Linked DNA regions of Rhinolophus ferrumequinum. Each later gene encodes a partner of the first gene's protein in a complex. Links are inferred from orthologs where the notes say so. Each region holds a gene or a part of one and is shown in the gene's direction. Other genes may lie near its edges.

Region 1 (8,063 bases):
AAATGAAAGATGTGGATGTTTTAAAATAAACATATTTCAAAAATAGGCTGCAGGCTGAATTTAGCTTGTCGCTGTAGTTTGATGTCCTCTGCTACAGATGCTAGATAATAGAATATTCTGAACAACTTTATGGGAAGAAATTTGACAATTTAGAGGAACAAGTTCTTTAAAAGACTCAAATTGTCAAAACTAATTCAAGAAGAATTATAAAATTCAAATAGCCTTTTATCAGAGTTTCTCAACCTTAGCACTATTGACATTTTGGTCTGGATAATTCTTTGGGTGGGGTGGACTGTCCTGTGTATTGCAGGGTTTTCAGCAGTATCTACTGCAAAAGCACCACTCAGTTATAACAACTCAAAATATCCCCAGATGTTACCAAATGTCCCCTGGAGAAGAGGCAAAATCACCTCCGGTTGAAAACAGAATATCAAGGAAAGAAATTGAATTCATAATTTAAAACCTTCCTTTCCTTCTCACCCTGCATTCCAGAAAGGAAGGAAGGAAGGGAAGAAAGGAGGAAGAAAGGAAAGGCGGGAGGGAGGGAGGGAACGAGGGAGGGAAAAAGAAGGAAGGAAGTAAGGGAGGGAAAGAAAGAAGGTAAAAGAAACATCCAACTCCAGGCTCAGATGGCTTCACTGTTTAATTCTGTCAGTAATTTAAAGAAGAAATAATACCAATTGAATAAAAATTCTTTCAGAAAATAGAAGTGAAGGGACACTTCCCAAACTAATTTTATGAGGCCAGCATTACCCTGAATATCAAAATCAAACGAAGGCCTTACGGGAAGAGAAAATTGCTGGCCAATATCCCCATGAACATAGATGCAACAATAAAATAATATATAAAAAGAATAATATGGGCCGGCCCGGTGGCTCAGGCGGTTAGAGCTCCATGCTCCTAACTCCGCAGGCCACCGGTTCGATTCCCACATGGGCCAGTGGGCTCTCAACCACAAGGTTGCCAGTTCAATTCCTCAAGTCCCACAAGGGATGGTGGGCTCCACTCCCTGCAACTAAGATTGAACACGGGCACCTTGAGCCTCCCGGATGGCTCAGTTGGTTGGAGCACAGGCTCTCAACCACAAGGTTGCCAGTTCAATTCCTCGAGTCCCACAAGGGATGGTGGGCTGTGCCCCCTGCAACTAAGATTGAACACGGCACCTTGAGCTGAGCTGCCGCTGAGCTCCCGAATGGCTCAGTTGGTTGGAGCGCGTCCTCTCAACCACAAGGTTGCCAGTTTGATTCCTCGACTCCTGCAAGGGATGGTGGGCAGCGCCCCCTGCAACTAGAAAACGGCAACTGGACCTGGAGCTGAGCTGCGCCCTCCACAACTAAGACTGAAAGGACAACAACTTGAAGTTGAACAGCACCCTCCACAACTAAGATTGAAAGGACAACAACTTGACTTGGAAAAAAGGCCTGAAAGTACACACTGTTCCCCAATAAAGTCCTGTTCCCTTTCCCCAATAAAATCTTTAAAAAAAAGAATAATACATCATGAACTGTGGGGTTTTTTACACAGGAATGCAAAGTTGGTTCATCATTTGAAAAATCAGACAGTATAATTCATCGTATTAACAGAATGAAGAAAAAAACATATGATCATCTCAATAGATGTAGGAAAAGCATTTGAAGAAAATCAACAACCATTCTTGATGTTTTAAAAATCTCAGCAAACTAGGAATAGAAGGGAACTTCTAAAAAAACCTAAAAAATGGGCCGGCCCGGTGGCTCAGGCAGTTGGAGCTCCATACTCCTAACTCTAAGGGCTGCCAGTTTGATTCCCACATGGGCCAGTGGGCTCTCAACCACAAGGTTGCCGGTTGGACTCCTTGACTCCCGCAAGGGATGATGGGCTGTGCCCCCTACACTAGACTAACAACGGCAACTGGACCTGGAGCTGAGCTGCACCCTCCACAACTAAGATTGAAAGGACAACAACTTGACTTGGAAAAAGTCCTGGAAATACACACTGTTCCCCAATAAAGTCCTGTTCCCCTTCCCCAATAAAATCTTAAAAAATAATAATAATAAAATAAAATAAAAAAATGGAAAAAAACAAAAAACTACAGCTAACATCACATATAATGGTGAAATACTGAATGCCTTTGGAACAAGGCAATGATGTCTATACTAACATGACTTGGATTCAACAGTAAGTCCTAACCAGTGGAATAAGGCAATGAAAGGCAAGGGGAAAAAAAGCATGCAGATTGAAAAGAAATAAAAGATTGAAAAGAAATAAAAGCAACTTGATAAAAGACATGATCTTGTGCATAGAAAATCTGAAAAGATTTCTCAAAAAGTTACCAAAACATAACTGAATTTAGCAAAGTTTCAGAAAATAAAATCAATAGACAAAAATCAATTGTATTTTAATATACTAGCATTTTCTTGAAAAATGGACAAAGTAAGCCTGTCATTTCAAGGAAAAGAATTGTCAGTTATTTGCTGCCAAAAATAAAATCCAAGCTTTCAAGCAAAAATTAGGATTTTGAAAAACCTGCACCAGCCATTGTGAGTTTAAAAGCTTCCTAACATTTAAGGGTCTTTCTGTTGAGATCAGTAGTGATATTAACAAATGTGACTTTTAAAAATATTTATAATGAATGTGAAAACATTTGAAAGATCTGTATAACTCAGTGAACCAATAATTTCCAAATAACCACTGTATGATGTGACAATCATGCATGGGCAAAAGTTTCATACAGAGTACCAGAGAGTCCAATGAATCTATGTAACAGAGTACAAAAGTTCTTTGATATAGTTACAGATTCCACACTGCCATTAATGTTTAAAGAAACTATCATTTGTCAAATTGTGGTTTAGTATCAAAGAATATTCACAATTATAAACAAAGGCTACTAAAATACCCCTCTTTTCTTACTAAATATGTGTGAAACTGGATTTTCTACACATATTTCAACTAGAACATATCACAACACACTGAAAAAGCAGATATGAGAATCCAGCTTTCTATTAAGCCAGACATTAATTTGCAAGAGATCTATAAAACAATTCCACTCTTCTGACTAAATTTCTTTTAGAAAAATATAATTATTTTTCTAATGATATTTATGTTAAATGTAATGGGTTTATTGTTATTTTAATGACTATTTTTAAAATTTGTTTCAATTTCTAATCTGGCAAATACTAATAAACAAAAGCTCAATAATTCTAAATAATTTTTAAGAGTGTAAAGTAGTCCTGAGAGCAAAAAGTTTGAGAATCATTGATTTAGTCCAACCCTTGCTCCCCATTTTATAGATTGATAAACTGAGGCCTGGAGTGGGAAGGGGCCCTTCACAAGATTTTGGTTGTGGTCCTGACACTCCATATTTGGTGTAAGCTTTTGAGGACAGGCGAGTCTAAGATACCTCCTCACTTGTGTATCCAATTTCTCTTATTGGATCCTTATCTGGATTTAAATGTCTATGAGCTTTTTTTTAAAAAAATACTTTTTTCTATACACATACCTCTTTTCACTTTACAACTGCCTGGTTCCTGTAATCAACTTCTTGAAAATTGTTTACATTTACATTTCTATTTTCTCATCTTTAATTCATTTAATTCATATCTATTGAGAGCCAACTATGTACCACTTACAGTCCTAGGTGCTGATATGATAATTCAGCAATGAATTTAAAAAAATCTTGTTCTTTTAAATCTTGCAATCTAGTGAGGGAAGACAAGTCCAGAAAAATTGTCCAGAATGTGTAAATGGGCAGAAGAGGATTACTGGGTGCTTTTTCATTCTAGTGTTGGGTTATACCTTTGATTGACTTTATATTGACTAGGCTATCTTACAACTTTGTAGGAGTAGAGGTTAACTTGTAGAAAACTGGTAGCAATGTAAATAATTCTTGTCTGGGAGCAACGCAAATGATTCCTATCCATAGTAATGTGCATGAATTTTGTCCAGTAGAGATGGAATTGATTTCCATCTAGCATAAGAGATAATTCCAAATATTAAAGTTTATTACTTAATAGGATATTAATGATTTTGCAACTATTAGTAAATTCATTTCAGCATTCCTTTGGCTGATAATTGAAAGCTCTGCAACTCAAATTCTCATTTGAACAAGTCCTACCATCTTACTGGTTTCCTCGTTATTTAGGATAATGATGGATGAGTAATTTATTACGATGAATAAAATCTGGCATGTGTTCATTTTATATTTGTATAAGAATTATGCTTTTTTTCTTTTGAAAATTATAAGAAAATAAATACATATCAGGTGTAATAAGTTATAAGAATAAAGGCAGGGTAAGAGAACAGCAATTAATTGGTGGTGTAGTATGTATTATTTTGGGCCAATCAGTCAGCAAGTCCTGTAGTTTCTCTCTTAATTATAGGTGGGATCCATCTTCACTGCCACCACGCTGATCCAGACAATCATCTTCTCTCATCTGATCTCCCTACCTACTTGGTCATCGGCTGTCAGATGATCAAATTTTTTTCTTTTTTTTAGATGATCACTTTTTAAAACACTGATCTCTACTGGCTCTTTATCTGTGGTGAAGTCAAGTTTTCCGGAGCCCCAAACTTACACAAAGAAAAATAATATAGTATTAGGTACAGGGCCTTGAAGGGGGCAGTGCGAATGACAGGTCCAGAAGAAACTTAAGCTTTCATTAGCTTCACTAAAAATCCGTCTCTGCCTACACGTCTAGGCTCGTTTTTTAACGCTACCTTAGGATCTTTCTCCGTGCAACTTCTTCTGCCTTGGAGGCCTTTCCCGCCCCTTTTTGTATAGCTAACTCTTTCAGTACTCAACTGCCAGTTCCCAGTACTCCGATTCCAGCTGGGTTAGACTTTTACGGAGTCTCTCCAAATGTTCCAAGCACCCAGGCCGAGCCACCATTCAGTGCGAAGGGTGGTTCTTTTCCAGCACCCTCAAAAGATCCCTGGGGGCGTCGCACCTGAGGAAAGGTAGGTGGAGCCTCGGGAGGACTCAGCCGTAAGTCCCTCCCCTTTTTGTCCCGCGAGTCGCGCACCACCTCTCGGGAACCCGCGGGTCTCGCCTTGCTGTTCCGGTCGGAATTATACAGCGGCGCACGCGGATATGGCTGCTCTGGTAGTGAGAAGTGTTCGGGACCTGTTGAAGCGTGCGGACTTCGCGAAGGTCCCGCGGAGACACCGACATAAGAAGAAATGGGTAAGGTCCAGCCGGGGGCCCAGGAGGGAACAGTGACAGCGGCCTCTGGCTGCCGCTCCTCGGGAAACTTTTTTGGCCCTTCCACTTCGCGCCCTACTCAGTTAGATTCGCTACTCCCACCCCTCTGGAACGCCTTTGGCCTTTATCCCCCTCACTTCAGGGGGCGTCACCTCTTTATCGTCATGGCTCTTTTATTTCGCCACAAGTCTTGGTCTCCCTCTTGTTTCGTCTACAGCCGCCTGACCCCGCCTCTCTAAGTTACGTCATCACCTCCGTCCTCATTCTCCCAGTTTTGTCATTGCCTGTTGTTCCCCAGCTCTTGATTACCTTCCTCTTGGCCCCCACTTCCCTCCCTCCCTCTCTCCCACCCTACCCCTCTTTCCTACCCCGCCCCTTCTCGTCCCCCCTCCACCCATGACCTCTTCTCCTTCTTTCCTTAAAGATTTTCCAGCCGGGCCACCCTCACCCCACGGAAAAGATCATAGCGACTTTCCCTTCCTACCTGGGTCTCAGCCGCCCTTCGGAAAAGGATTTAACCCCTTCCTTACACTCGAGCTGCCTCTAGCGGCGAGGAAAGGTTACAGCGACCACCCTGCCCATACCCCCGGCCCTTCCTCAAACCCGGGCAAAAGATGCCCTGACTACTCTCACGCTCTTGGGTCTCCCCATTTCTCCAGAGACCTTTTCTCTGGCCTCACCGGTAGCCCTGGAATTTCCTCCATAACCGGCACTCCCCGCTCCCTACCCCGACCGATTCCCTCCCCGCCCCCACTATCCCCCTCCTCAGCCCCACAACCTCCCCTGCGCTTGGAGAGATGTTCTTTTGAACCCTGTTCTCCACCCCTCGCAAGGCACTGCTACCAGGAGCCTGTCCCCTCGGGTTCGCGCCCTCCGAGCCCTTGTTTTGAGCGGTTCAGACTTCTGGGTTCACCCCTTCTCCATTCGCGGAGCCCTCATTGCAGCTGGATCAGTCCCGTGAGAACACCTCGTCCCTGTCCCCAAAGTCCTTACACTGACCACCACACTTACCTCTGTTACTGTGCTGAAAATAATTCAGCCTTAGTAACAAGCAGGGTGACCTCCCCTCCTCTCACTCATGGGCCCCCACAAACCAGCCCGGTGAGTTCTCCTCCCCTCACTCATGTGCATTTAGAAACTGGCCCCATGATTTCACCTGTCACTCATGATTCTCAGGGAACTGGCCTCATGATTTCACCTCCCATTGCTCACCAGCCCAAGGAAACTAGGCCTATAATTTCCCTACCCCTTTCTCACAGGGTGTTAGAGCTCTCACAGATCTCCTCTCTGTACCCTCCCTGGTCCTCAGGGAGAAGTTGTAATGATCCTCCTCTTTCCTCAGCATCTTCCCCACCCACTGGTCAGTTTTACCAAGGCCATCTTAAGCCTCCAGACTCTTGTGAACCTAAACCACAGCTTGATCCACGCCTTGGGAAAAATTGTGGCTCCCCACTTTCTTCTCAGGCATGTGTGGCTGACTATCCCAGCTCATCTCAGGAGGATTCCTATCACTATTCCCATCTCCCCCCAGAGACCCACATATCTGCCCCTGGGAGCCCTTATAGTGTCATTCTCCTACCCCCTGGGATTACTGGTTCTTCTTGCTCACCCCAGTCCCAGGCTCCCAGGAAGCCTTGCTTTGAGTCCATTTTCCCCTGGAAGACTGGTGGGCGCTCTTACCTCTTTACTGGTACCACGGTTTCTGGTCCCCCGTGTCCTCAGGAACCACCTCTTTCCCTGTCCTCACCCTGTCCTTTTTCTGCCTTCTCCTTCTCTTCATCCCTGGGTAACCAGTTTGTATCTCCACCCCAGTCACCCTTTTGTAGAAGCTATAATGAACCCCCTCTCCTTACTGCAGTTTGCCCCCAAGAGAAGTCCCCCAAATCCCCAGGGTTAAAACAGCTACGTGCTCCCCACAGATGTCGCTCCCTGGTCACCTCTGCCCAGAACACTCCTGAGCAATTCAGGCCCTCTAAGGCTAGCACCTCTCCCATACCTCCCTCCCACCCTTCTGGTCTCTCTGGTCCTTCTTGTATGGTGACATCCATCACAACTTGCTCAAATTCCTGCCCCAAAGAACTTCCTCAAGGGACTACCTTACCTACCCTAGTCCCTAGGACCCTCAAAACTGTTATCCCCACTTCGCTTCCCTTCTGCTTTCCTTGTGATTCTATCTTACCCAATATTTATGCTCAGAGCTGCCCCCATGGACCCCCGCTAAGAGCCCCTTGCTGTACCCATATATATTCTGTGGTTCCCCCCACCCCTGATCCCTGCCCACCTTCTGGTTCCACAGGTCCCCCTCAGTGTCATAACCAGCCCATGGTGCCCCCCCGTGGTACCTATGGCACTCCCAGGGGCCCATCCCAACCCCATCGCCAGCCTGTGGCACCTCCATGTCCTACACATATCTATTCTTTTATCCCTTTGAGAACACCTTTTGACCCCCAAAGTTTACCCATTGACCCCCGACCCCAGGGCCACCCTGATACGATGCCCTGTGGCTTCCATGTCTACTCTGTGGCTTCTCGAGGCTCACGCAAAGAGACGCTGAAGGTCCCCTACAGCTGTCCTATGCCTTCATCCACGAGTTCCACCTGTAGCACTAATCCCAGCTGTAGTTCAACTGTTACTAGTGAATGCCAGAATAGTGACAGCCAGAACACAAATACCCATCAAAGCAGAAGTCGGAACCGGAGCGAGAGTCCCCACCAAAGCATAAATCAGGATCAATGCGAGAGTCTTCAACTTGGCGTATGTCAGGAACAGAGTGAGCGTCCCCAGAGTAGCAAAAGTCAGGGCCCGAGCAAGAATGCCCTCCATAGCAAAAGTCGGAGCCGAAGCAAGAGTCCCCACCATGACAAGAATCTGGGCAAGACTGAGA
Region 2 (7,788 bases), on another chromosome or scaffold:
TGCACAGCCAGAGCCCCCAGGACAGGCTGCTGTGAGGGACCTCTGCGCATCCTAAGGCAGGACCTTGAACGCCAAGTTGTCATTTTAGAGGTGATAGATGTCTCTCGCAGCCTTTCTCGAAGCACAGCTGGGGCCCTGTGCGCCAGAAACCCTGGGGTACTAGCTAAAAGTGGGGTTCCAGGGCTCCTCGCTGCCGGTCAGGTGCTCATGGGGGCAGACCAGGACCCGCGGTTTTCAGATGCGCTTCACTTGACCCAGGCCAGACCAATGTTGGTCTTCTGGCCCCATGCCTAGGGCAGCTTTTTATGTCCCCAGATCTAATGAGCCTCCTGTCTGGGTTGCTGCAGCCTGTCCCTGAGCAGCGCACCACCTTGGAGAAGCTGGTGACAAACCCCTGGGTGACGCAGCCTGTGAACCTTGCTGACTACACCTGGGAGGAGGTGTATCAAGTAAATAAGCCAGGTGAGAGGTGAGGAGGTTCCCCAGGCTGCCTTTTGGGTCCGGGGAGGACGGGGAGGCTCCCTCCTCCCATGCTGTTCTGGACACAAATGTCACGGCCCATAGCTGGCTCGTCCCCTATGAAACAAACGGGACTTGATTCTGTTCCAGGGGCCCCTGAATGCCCCCGGGGTTCAGAGCTTTGCCTGTGGGCCTTGGAAGGTGGGTGAGTGAGTCCCTGTGGGAGCCTGTGATGAGATGGTACCTACAGAAGGGGTGGGGGCTGGGGTTTGAGAAATGCAGTTGCTGCAGTGATGTGAATGGGCTGACGAGGGGAATGAGGCCATAGACGTGAGTCAGTGTTCGGGGACCTGCAGGGCCCTGCTCTTCAGACGAGGCAGATGGCTGCCCAGCCGGGCCACCCAGCCCATGTGGCTGGTCACTGAGCTGGTGGTGATGACTCCAGCCTCGAACCCCACCGCACCTCGGCGGGTCCAGGGACTCTGGAACAGTGCCAGTTGGGTTTGGAAGGGTCCCTCGGATGGCTTTTGCTCCTAGGAATTCTTCTAGAGGGAAGCAAAGTGGTTTAGAATCATGTGGTGTTAGCATATGATGCACTACCATCTTCTTTCCTCAGACAGCGGAGTTCTGTCCATTATGAGTCTGGAGACGGAGAGCAGGACCCCAAGCACAGTGGCCTCGGGCCCCAGGGGAGCCCCCTAACGATGGTTTCACCCAACCAGGAAATCACGTTGTTTTCAGGCCCTTCTGTTGAGAGAAATTAATTCTCAGGAATTAGGCCAAGTTCACCTCTGAAAAACACATGTGTGAGTTTGATAAATGCTAGAACAAAAGCCCAGTGATGTTGTACCATTTTAGGTTTATAAAATAGACTTGGAGTTCATTTTTTTCATGACTTTGAAAAAACATGGTAGTATTCAATTGAGTTTTGTACTATGAGAGGCCATTTCATCTGTGAACTTCTGAAAAGCATCAATAAATTTGTAAATCTCTTTCTACTTCTGTATATATGCACATTTCTGTTTCCTCTGACTTGGCCTCTGCTCATCTGATAGGCGGAATTTGCAGAACTGGTTAGCCAAATGACCAGCGTATTTTATTCATTTATTTCCTTGAACATTTTCCAAATTAAACCACTTTGTTAGTAAACACTTACCCTGACTTGGACTGTCTGAATTCTTCCACAATGCCAGTGTGGGAAGCACTTTGTTTCTGCACCCCTACTCACTGCAGCTGGAGGGAGGGCCAGCCTCACACAGTTTGGGGTCCCTCCAGGGACCCCAGCAAGCTTTGCAGCTTGCTCCGTCTCAGGAGACTGGGAGAGAGTGGCGGTCTCGGGCACCTCCCTTTCTCTGGGCCCAGCTTGTCCGGGTTGGCCCATCACCTGTCTGGGCTCTGATGTCAGGCGGGCTGTGCAGCAGACCCTCCCAGCAGCCCCAGACATCCCCGCGCCAGCCTGGCGCCACCTCTCCCTCACTGTCCTACTCTTGCTCCGGTCCCAGGGCTTCTCACACTCAGATACCCCCTGTCCCCGGCTCCGTGCATCCCCTCTGAAACAATCAGCTTGCTCAAGCACATGAAAGCCAGGCTCCATTTTGTACCTGTTGGAGGGGAGAGAGTGCTTAGGGGTAAGAGGAAAGTTTCTCCCCTCACGCCTTCTGAAACACCAGGAAGAAAACAAGAAAAAGGAAGACTCCCCACTCTCTTCCCACAGTTCCCACTTGCTGCAGGTACCAAGGCGGCTGCTGCCCAGAGCCCTGAGGAAGGTACTCGGGGGCCAGGCCGCCTCCACTATGGCCCTGTGCTCAGCACTCAACGGTCTTAATATTTTAGGACGCTCAGATAACAGCTAATGTGATTCTCAACTACTAGGACACAGGATTTCCCCATCTCTAGAAATTGCTGTTCGAGTCTCTGCCATCACGGGAAAGAGATGGGACTCCTCCATCAGGGTCAGTTAGACAGAGCTTGGAGACATGTGCTTTTATGTGTAGGAAAAAGTGATACAGAACTTCAGAATTCAAATGAGTTTCCTTATGTTCTAAGAACTGTTTTCAAAAGTGGGGGGAAAAAAACCCCAAACATTTATCCTTGTAGTGTTTATGATGTTTATAACACAAGAGCAGTTACAGAATGTTTTTTTCAGACAGGCGTGCCATGGGCTGATAATGCAAAGTCCTCACTCTACAAGAGCTGTTCGTTCTTTATATGAAACAAAATTCATCTGACTTGATGGCAGTAGAAGGTTTGATACTTTGAGAGTGTTTTTCACAGAAAGAACTGGGGAGAAAAGTTCTGAGTCTGAGACTGATGCATTTTTCTGTCCACGTTCCAAGTATGTGCCCAGAGAGCAACATGTTCATAGCAAACTGAAGATACTGCTGGCTCTTAGAGCAAACCTGGCACCCCAGCCGTTTCTTTGTTTCCAGAGCTGGATAACTGCTTAGGTTCCTTGATGCTTTCCAGGTTGTGGGGTAGCACAGGGTTTTCTTAGGCTTTGGGTGTAAAAGCATTAACAATTTATTTTGAGGTGCTGACAGTGGAGTGTTTTAAGAAGAAAGATTAAAAACCATCAAAAACAACCAATTCTTTGACCCCACACAGATTACAAATGTCCTTTTCTTTGATGTAATCCTTGTGTAAAAAGATAGGTCTTAGCACCCAGCGCAGTGCTTGGCACAGAGCAGGTACTCTGTAAATTGTATTCATGCAAGAATCAGGTCCCTTTTCTGAACCAGAACCAAGTTCAGAACCAGGTCCCAGTTCAGAACAAAGTTGGTGAAACAAGAAGAAATGTTTATAAAGTAAGGTACTGGGCTTACGAGTGGTGGAATTCAGGCAGTTGAGGGAACACACCGTTTTAGTTTTTTTCACAACTACCCACGTTTGAAAGATGCGTAGGCTCTACACCCGAATTACTACAGGTTTGAAATTTAAGAAGAAATACCATGACAAGAAAATTCTGAGATGTCGTGAATTAATTACAGCAGGCCAGAGGGTGGAGGGAAGACACAAGAAAGAGGTTAGTCATTTAAACAATGCAGGGCAAAACCAACAAGACTGCTTGCATTCCTGAGTGTGTGTTGGAACTTCAAATTAACTTCCAAGTGCCTGTTTCTACGGTTATCTGGAGAATAGCTAGGGCCACTGCCCCCCAGAAGCCTCCACTTCCTGGTTACCTGTGGATTCCCCTCACTGTTGCCCACAGCCAATCCAAAGGAGCAAACACTTCCTCCCTGGACTGCACCCATCCCCAAGCTAGCCCTGCTCCACCTTCTCACACCCCCTTCACAGCCAGTATCAGTTCTTGAACAACTCACATCTTCCTTCTACTTGCTGTATACCAAGAGCTTGTCAACCCCAGGACCGCGGACATGTTGCCTTCACCTACCGTGTTTCCCCGAAAATAAGGCCTAGCCGGACCATCAGCTCTAATGCATCTTTTGGAGTAAAAATTAATATAAGATTATATTATGAGAAGAGCGGGTCTTATAGTAAAATAAGACCGGGTCTTATATTAACTTTCGCTTCAAAAGACGCATCAGAGCTGATGGCCCGGCTAGGTCGTATTTTCAGGGAAACACGGTAGCACTGCTGCTGGCGGTTTAGACTGCACACCCCAGGACCTGGTTCTTTTCTGGCTAGCGTATGGCTCAATACACCCTTTCTTTCAAAAAAGCTTTCAATCATGAAACTGTTTTAACAGCAAATTGGGCTGAAACATTACTGGCTTTCATCTCAAGGGGAAACCAGACCTCCGAGTGGGGAGGACTTGTGTCAATAAGGGGACATGTGTTGCAGTTCCTGTCATTTGATGACTTGGGTCGTATTTCTTAAAAATTGTCAAGACTTCCGGAGTTCCTTGCGATAGTTTCAACACCCCTAGAATACACCTGTCTTTTAGTGTGTGTGTGTGTTTCCTCAGTATTCATGCTGAATACAGATTTTCACACAGTAAGTCTTAAACATCTTCATCTGGGACCCCGTGTTTTCTGGCTGCTTCTACCCCGACGTGAAAACGCTTCGGGAAGTTACTGTCGAACCACGGGACGTGGCCGGTTTGAGTCCAGGTTCTAGTTTCCTTTCACCTCTTCTCTTCAGAGGGATTTTAAAGTAACGCGAAGCGAAGGTTTGGGGAAGGAGCTGTTCGCTAGCCGCGCTAGCCGAGAAGGCGAGAAAGCGGGAAAGTGGCAGCGGAGAACAAAGCGGAGAACCCGCCCCGGGCCCGCCCAGCGCGGGACACGTCCTGAGAAGGGCCGCCGCGGAACGCGTTTCCCGCGCCGTCGCGCTTGCGAGGGGGAAGGCGGAAGCGGCGGACGGCGGGCGCTCTGCTTCCGGCGCCGGAGTCGCGGTGGCCGCCTTCGCGCTATGGCGGCGCTCGGCCGGCAGGTGAGGCTGCGCCGTCGGCTGGACCCCTGGCGGGTCGCGGGCGGGGGCGCAGAGGAGTCGCCGGCGCCCAGGTGCTTCCCGGCAGGCGGCGACCTGTTGCCGTCGGAGCCTTCCCGCAGGCCGGTGCACACAGCAAGTGCACGCACCTGGGCTGCGGCGCTCGCTGTCCGCTCGGTCAGCGCGCCCTGAGCGCAGCTCCGCCCGGCTCGGCACTAGCCGGGCCCGGGCGTGAATCCGGCGGCGGGAGCGGGTGGGCCGCGGGCGGGGCGAGGCGCGGCAGCCCGGGGGCCGCGAGCGCGTGGGCTTGACTGCCTGCCGGGGGCCACGCTGGGTGACGTTTGGGCGCGCGGGGACCCGTCCGGTTTGCTCCGCGCCGGCCTGGGCCACGGACCACTTTTGAAGTGAGCGGGAATTCTACATACAAGTTGGCTGCCGGACTAAGCTGCATTCTACCTAACAGGGTTGTTTCTGTGGAATGGACTTAGGGCCATGAATCCCGAGCCTAGTAGGAGGTCCCGAGTTTTCACGTGTGGGACCAAGTCGGCGCCCCGGAGTTGGCGTGGAAACCATTGTAGACTAAAGACATTTGAGATTCGGCACCTACGGGAAGTTTCCTCAGAGCTTTGCTTTTCACTAAAAGCAGAAACGGCTGGGAGTGAGGCTGCCGTGGGTCCTCTCTCCCGGGGAGTTTATGGCCGGGAAGGAAAAAAAGAAAGAAGACCACTCGGCACCTGTATAAACAGACAATCCGGCAAACTTTCTCATCGCCCCTGTCCCCCTAGAAACCCGCTGGTTCTTCCCATAAGAGCCTTTTCTCCTCCTCCCTCTCCGTCGTGAAGTTAACGTCCGTCACTAGCCACATAGGGAGCTACGTCTTTTGTTAGCTGCCATATGCACGTTAAGAAACTTGGGGGATTTTTCTTCCTGTGGATCTACTGTCAGTTAAATTTGCAGCCTCCGCCCCCCCCACCCCCCCACACTGACCCTGACAGGGTGAAGGAAACGTCCTCCCCTCCCCCAAGCACTTCACCAGGCGGCACTGAAATAGTTCCCTTCCCCTCAGTTACAGGAGCCCAAGCTGGGAGCCTGCGTTGCTCTGACCTCTGCCCTTGCAGTGCTCTGCTCTCTGTGTGGGAATCTCCTTCTGTGTAGGCTTTTGAAGTTCACGTACGATTTTGCAGATGTCTTATGAAAACAGGTTCCTGTGGGACCAAGGCACAGATACCCTGCTCATCCTGCTTGTACGTCCTGCGGTGCCCGTGACATGGGGCGATGAGGAACTGATGCCCTTTTGTACTGTCTTCCAGGTCTCGGCTTGGTACCACCTGATCCCCCTCACCTGGGCCCGCATGTCTAGGCAGACTCCTCAGAAAAAGATGACGGCTTCCTCGTTGTGTAAACTGACCACAGCCTCCACCGGAGGGGGCCTTGAGGAGGTACCCTGTGTGCAGGACCCAGCGTGCAGGACGCATCTCCCTCAGTGCCTCCTCGAGAAGCAGAGTGCTCCTGTGGACGGAGGGCCCTGGGAGCGAGAGGAGGTCATCACTTCCCTCCTGGACATGGGTTTCAGTGATGTCCACGTGAATGAGTTGCTCACAGTGCAACCAGGTACCCACCCTCAACAGGTGCTGGATATCGTTTCAGAATTAATACTCTTGGGTGTGAATCCAGAGCCTGTGTGTGTGGCTCTGAAGAAAAGTCCTCAGTTATTGAAACTGCCTGTGATGCACATGAAGAAGCGCTCCAGTTATCTGCGAAAGCTTGGCCTTGGAGAAGGTAAAGGTGTAGCTTTTATAGATAGTGCCCAGGGGTCCACGCTGGGGAACGAGCAGCCTCCGTGAGCTGGATTAGGGGAGGTTTCTGGGGAAGGCCCTTGAGAGGACTGTGTGACTTGGTGTGGAGGTGAAGAAGAGGCGTGGTCTCGTTTCAGGCGTTGCAGGACGGGAGGAGGCAGTTGGGTAGCAGGCAGGGACTCTCGTCTTGTTCCCTGGGGGGGCTCTAGCGTCTAGAACAGGTGGGCACGGGTGCTCACAGGTGGATGTCAGTATGCGATATAGACGTGTATAACCTTTGGTGTTTAAATTAGCTTAGGTGGTCTTAGTGCTTTGTGTCTGAGGTTGAGCCAGAGCCATACAGAGTCCCTGGTAAATGCTTGGATTCCAGCTGGGTGTCTTGATTTACTGTGGAACGGGAGATCTTCCCAGATTCCTGGGAAATGGTGGAGCAGCTGTTCCCTCCAGCCGCCACCTCCAGTCCCAACAGAATTCTAGAGAAGTTCATTGGGTCTCTTTATGGGCCCTCTGGAGAAGGGGTTTGGGGGCCCAGGAGGGTCTCCAAGGACCCCTACCCACTTTGACCAGAGGAGTTCCACTGTTCTCTTTTTCACTCTTGACTCTCACTGGTTAGACGTCGGGGGGGAAAGGTTTGCAGACCACGTTTCAGATGACCTCTGCAGGCCTTCTTCTCCAGAAGTAAGCAGAGACCGCCTTGTGTGTTTCTCGGACCCGATGACCTGTGGCTGTATAATCGGAAAGACTAAACGGAACACCTTATGTGCTCTGATTATAAATTAGCAAGCTCAGCACGGCCTTACGTGGCAAAGATAAAGTCTAAACTCCTGAAATTCTGATACATTTTGGCAAGACAGTGACTAATTCAACTGTTAGGAGCATTTCAACTAGCCATTTAAAGAAGTGATTTTAAGTTTCCAGGTACTAACTTTTACCAACTATCCGTAGGAGACCATGTGCCGCACGCAGTTCACCTACCTCAGGCAGTCTCAGTTCACACCAGTTATCTAATGCAATTAACAGGGCATCTTTCACCCAGTTTGGATAAAATATGTGGTCACCCCACTAGGTGGGTCATCAGTATTTGTGCTAGTTGTTACTATTATGGTAATTATTTTCATGGCACTCCTTTTCTTTGAGTTCAGGCCCC

Evidence for each region. The genes of interacting proteins can lie anywhere in the genome.
Region 2: the proteins of NSUN4 (region 1) and MTERF4 are in contact, whole or in part, in a crystal structure (PDB 4FP9), measured with the Homo sapiens proteins. The link is inferred for Rhinolophus ferrumequinum from reciprocal best matches to the Homo sapiens genes NSUN4 and MTERF4. Residues at the interface, in NP_950245.2 of Homo sapiens: Pro61, Ser62, Arg64, Val65, Leu68, Ser69, Glu70, Arg136, Gly137, Asp138, Ile139, Arg141, Asn367, Leu368, Met369; in NP_872307.2 of Homo sapiens: Tyr267, Glu269, Arg270, Leu271, Gly272, Arg273, Glu311, Glu312, Val315, Phe316, Lys318, Leu319, Arg322, Glu323, Glu326.

What each region holds. Positions count from the first base shown.
Region 1 is NC_046292.1:32,909,391-32,917,453, forward strand, and holds the start of NSUN4 (5-methylcytosine rRNA methyltransferase NSUN4), read left to right. Parts: upstream 1-4,980; 5' UTR 4,981-5,068; coding exon 5,069-5,161; intron 5,162-8,063. UniProt on the Homo sapiens protein: Mitochondrial RNA cytosine C(5)-methyltransferase that methylates cytosine to 5-methylcytosine (m5C) in various RNAs, such as rRNAs, mRNAs and some long non-coding RNAs (lncRNAs).
Region 2 is NC_046291.1:547,924-555,711, forward strand, and holds the start of MTERF4 (transcription termination factor 4, mitochondrial), read left to right. Parts: upstream 1-4,697; 5' UTR 4,698-4,827; coding exon 4,828-4,848; intron 4,849-6,155; coding exon 6,156-6,624; intron 6,625-7,788. Other genes in the region: PASK (PAS domain-containing serine/threonine-protein kinase), read left to right, coding at 316-462, 1,076-1,161. UniProt on the Homo sapiens protein: Regulator of mitochondrial ribosome biogenesis and translation. Binds to mitochondrial ribosomal RNAs 16S, 12S and 7S and targets NSUN4 RNA methyltransferase to the mitochondrial large ribosomal subunit (39S).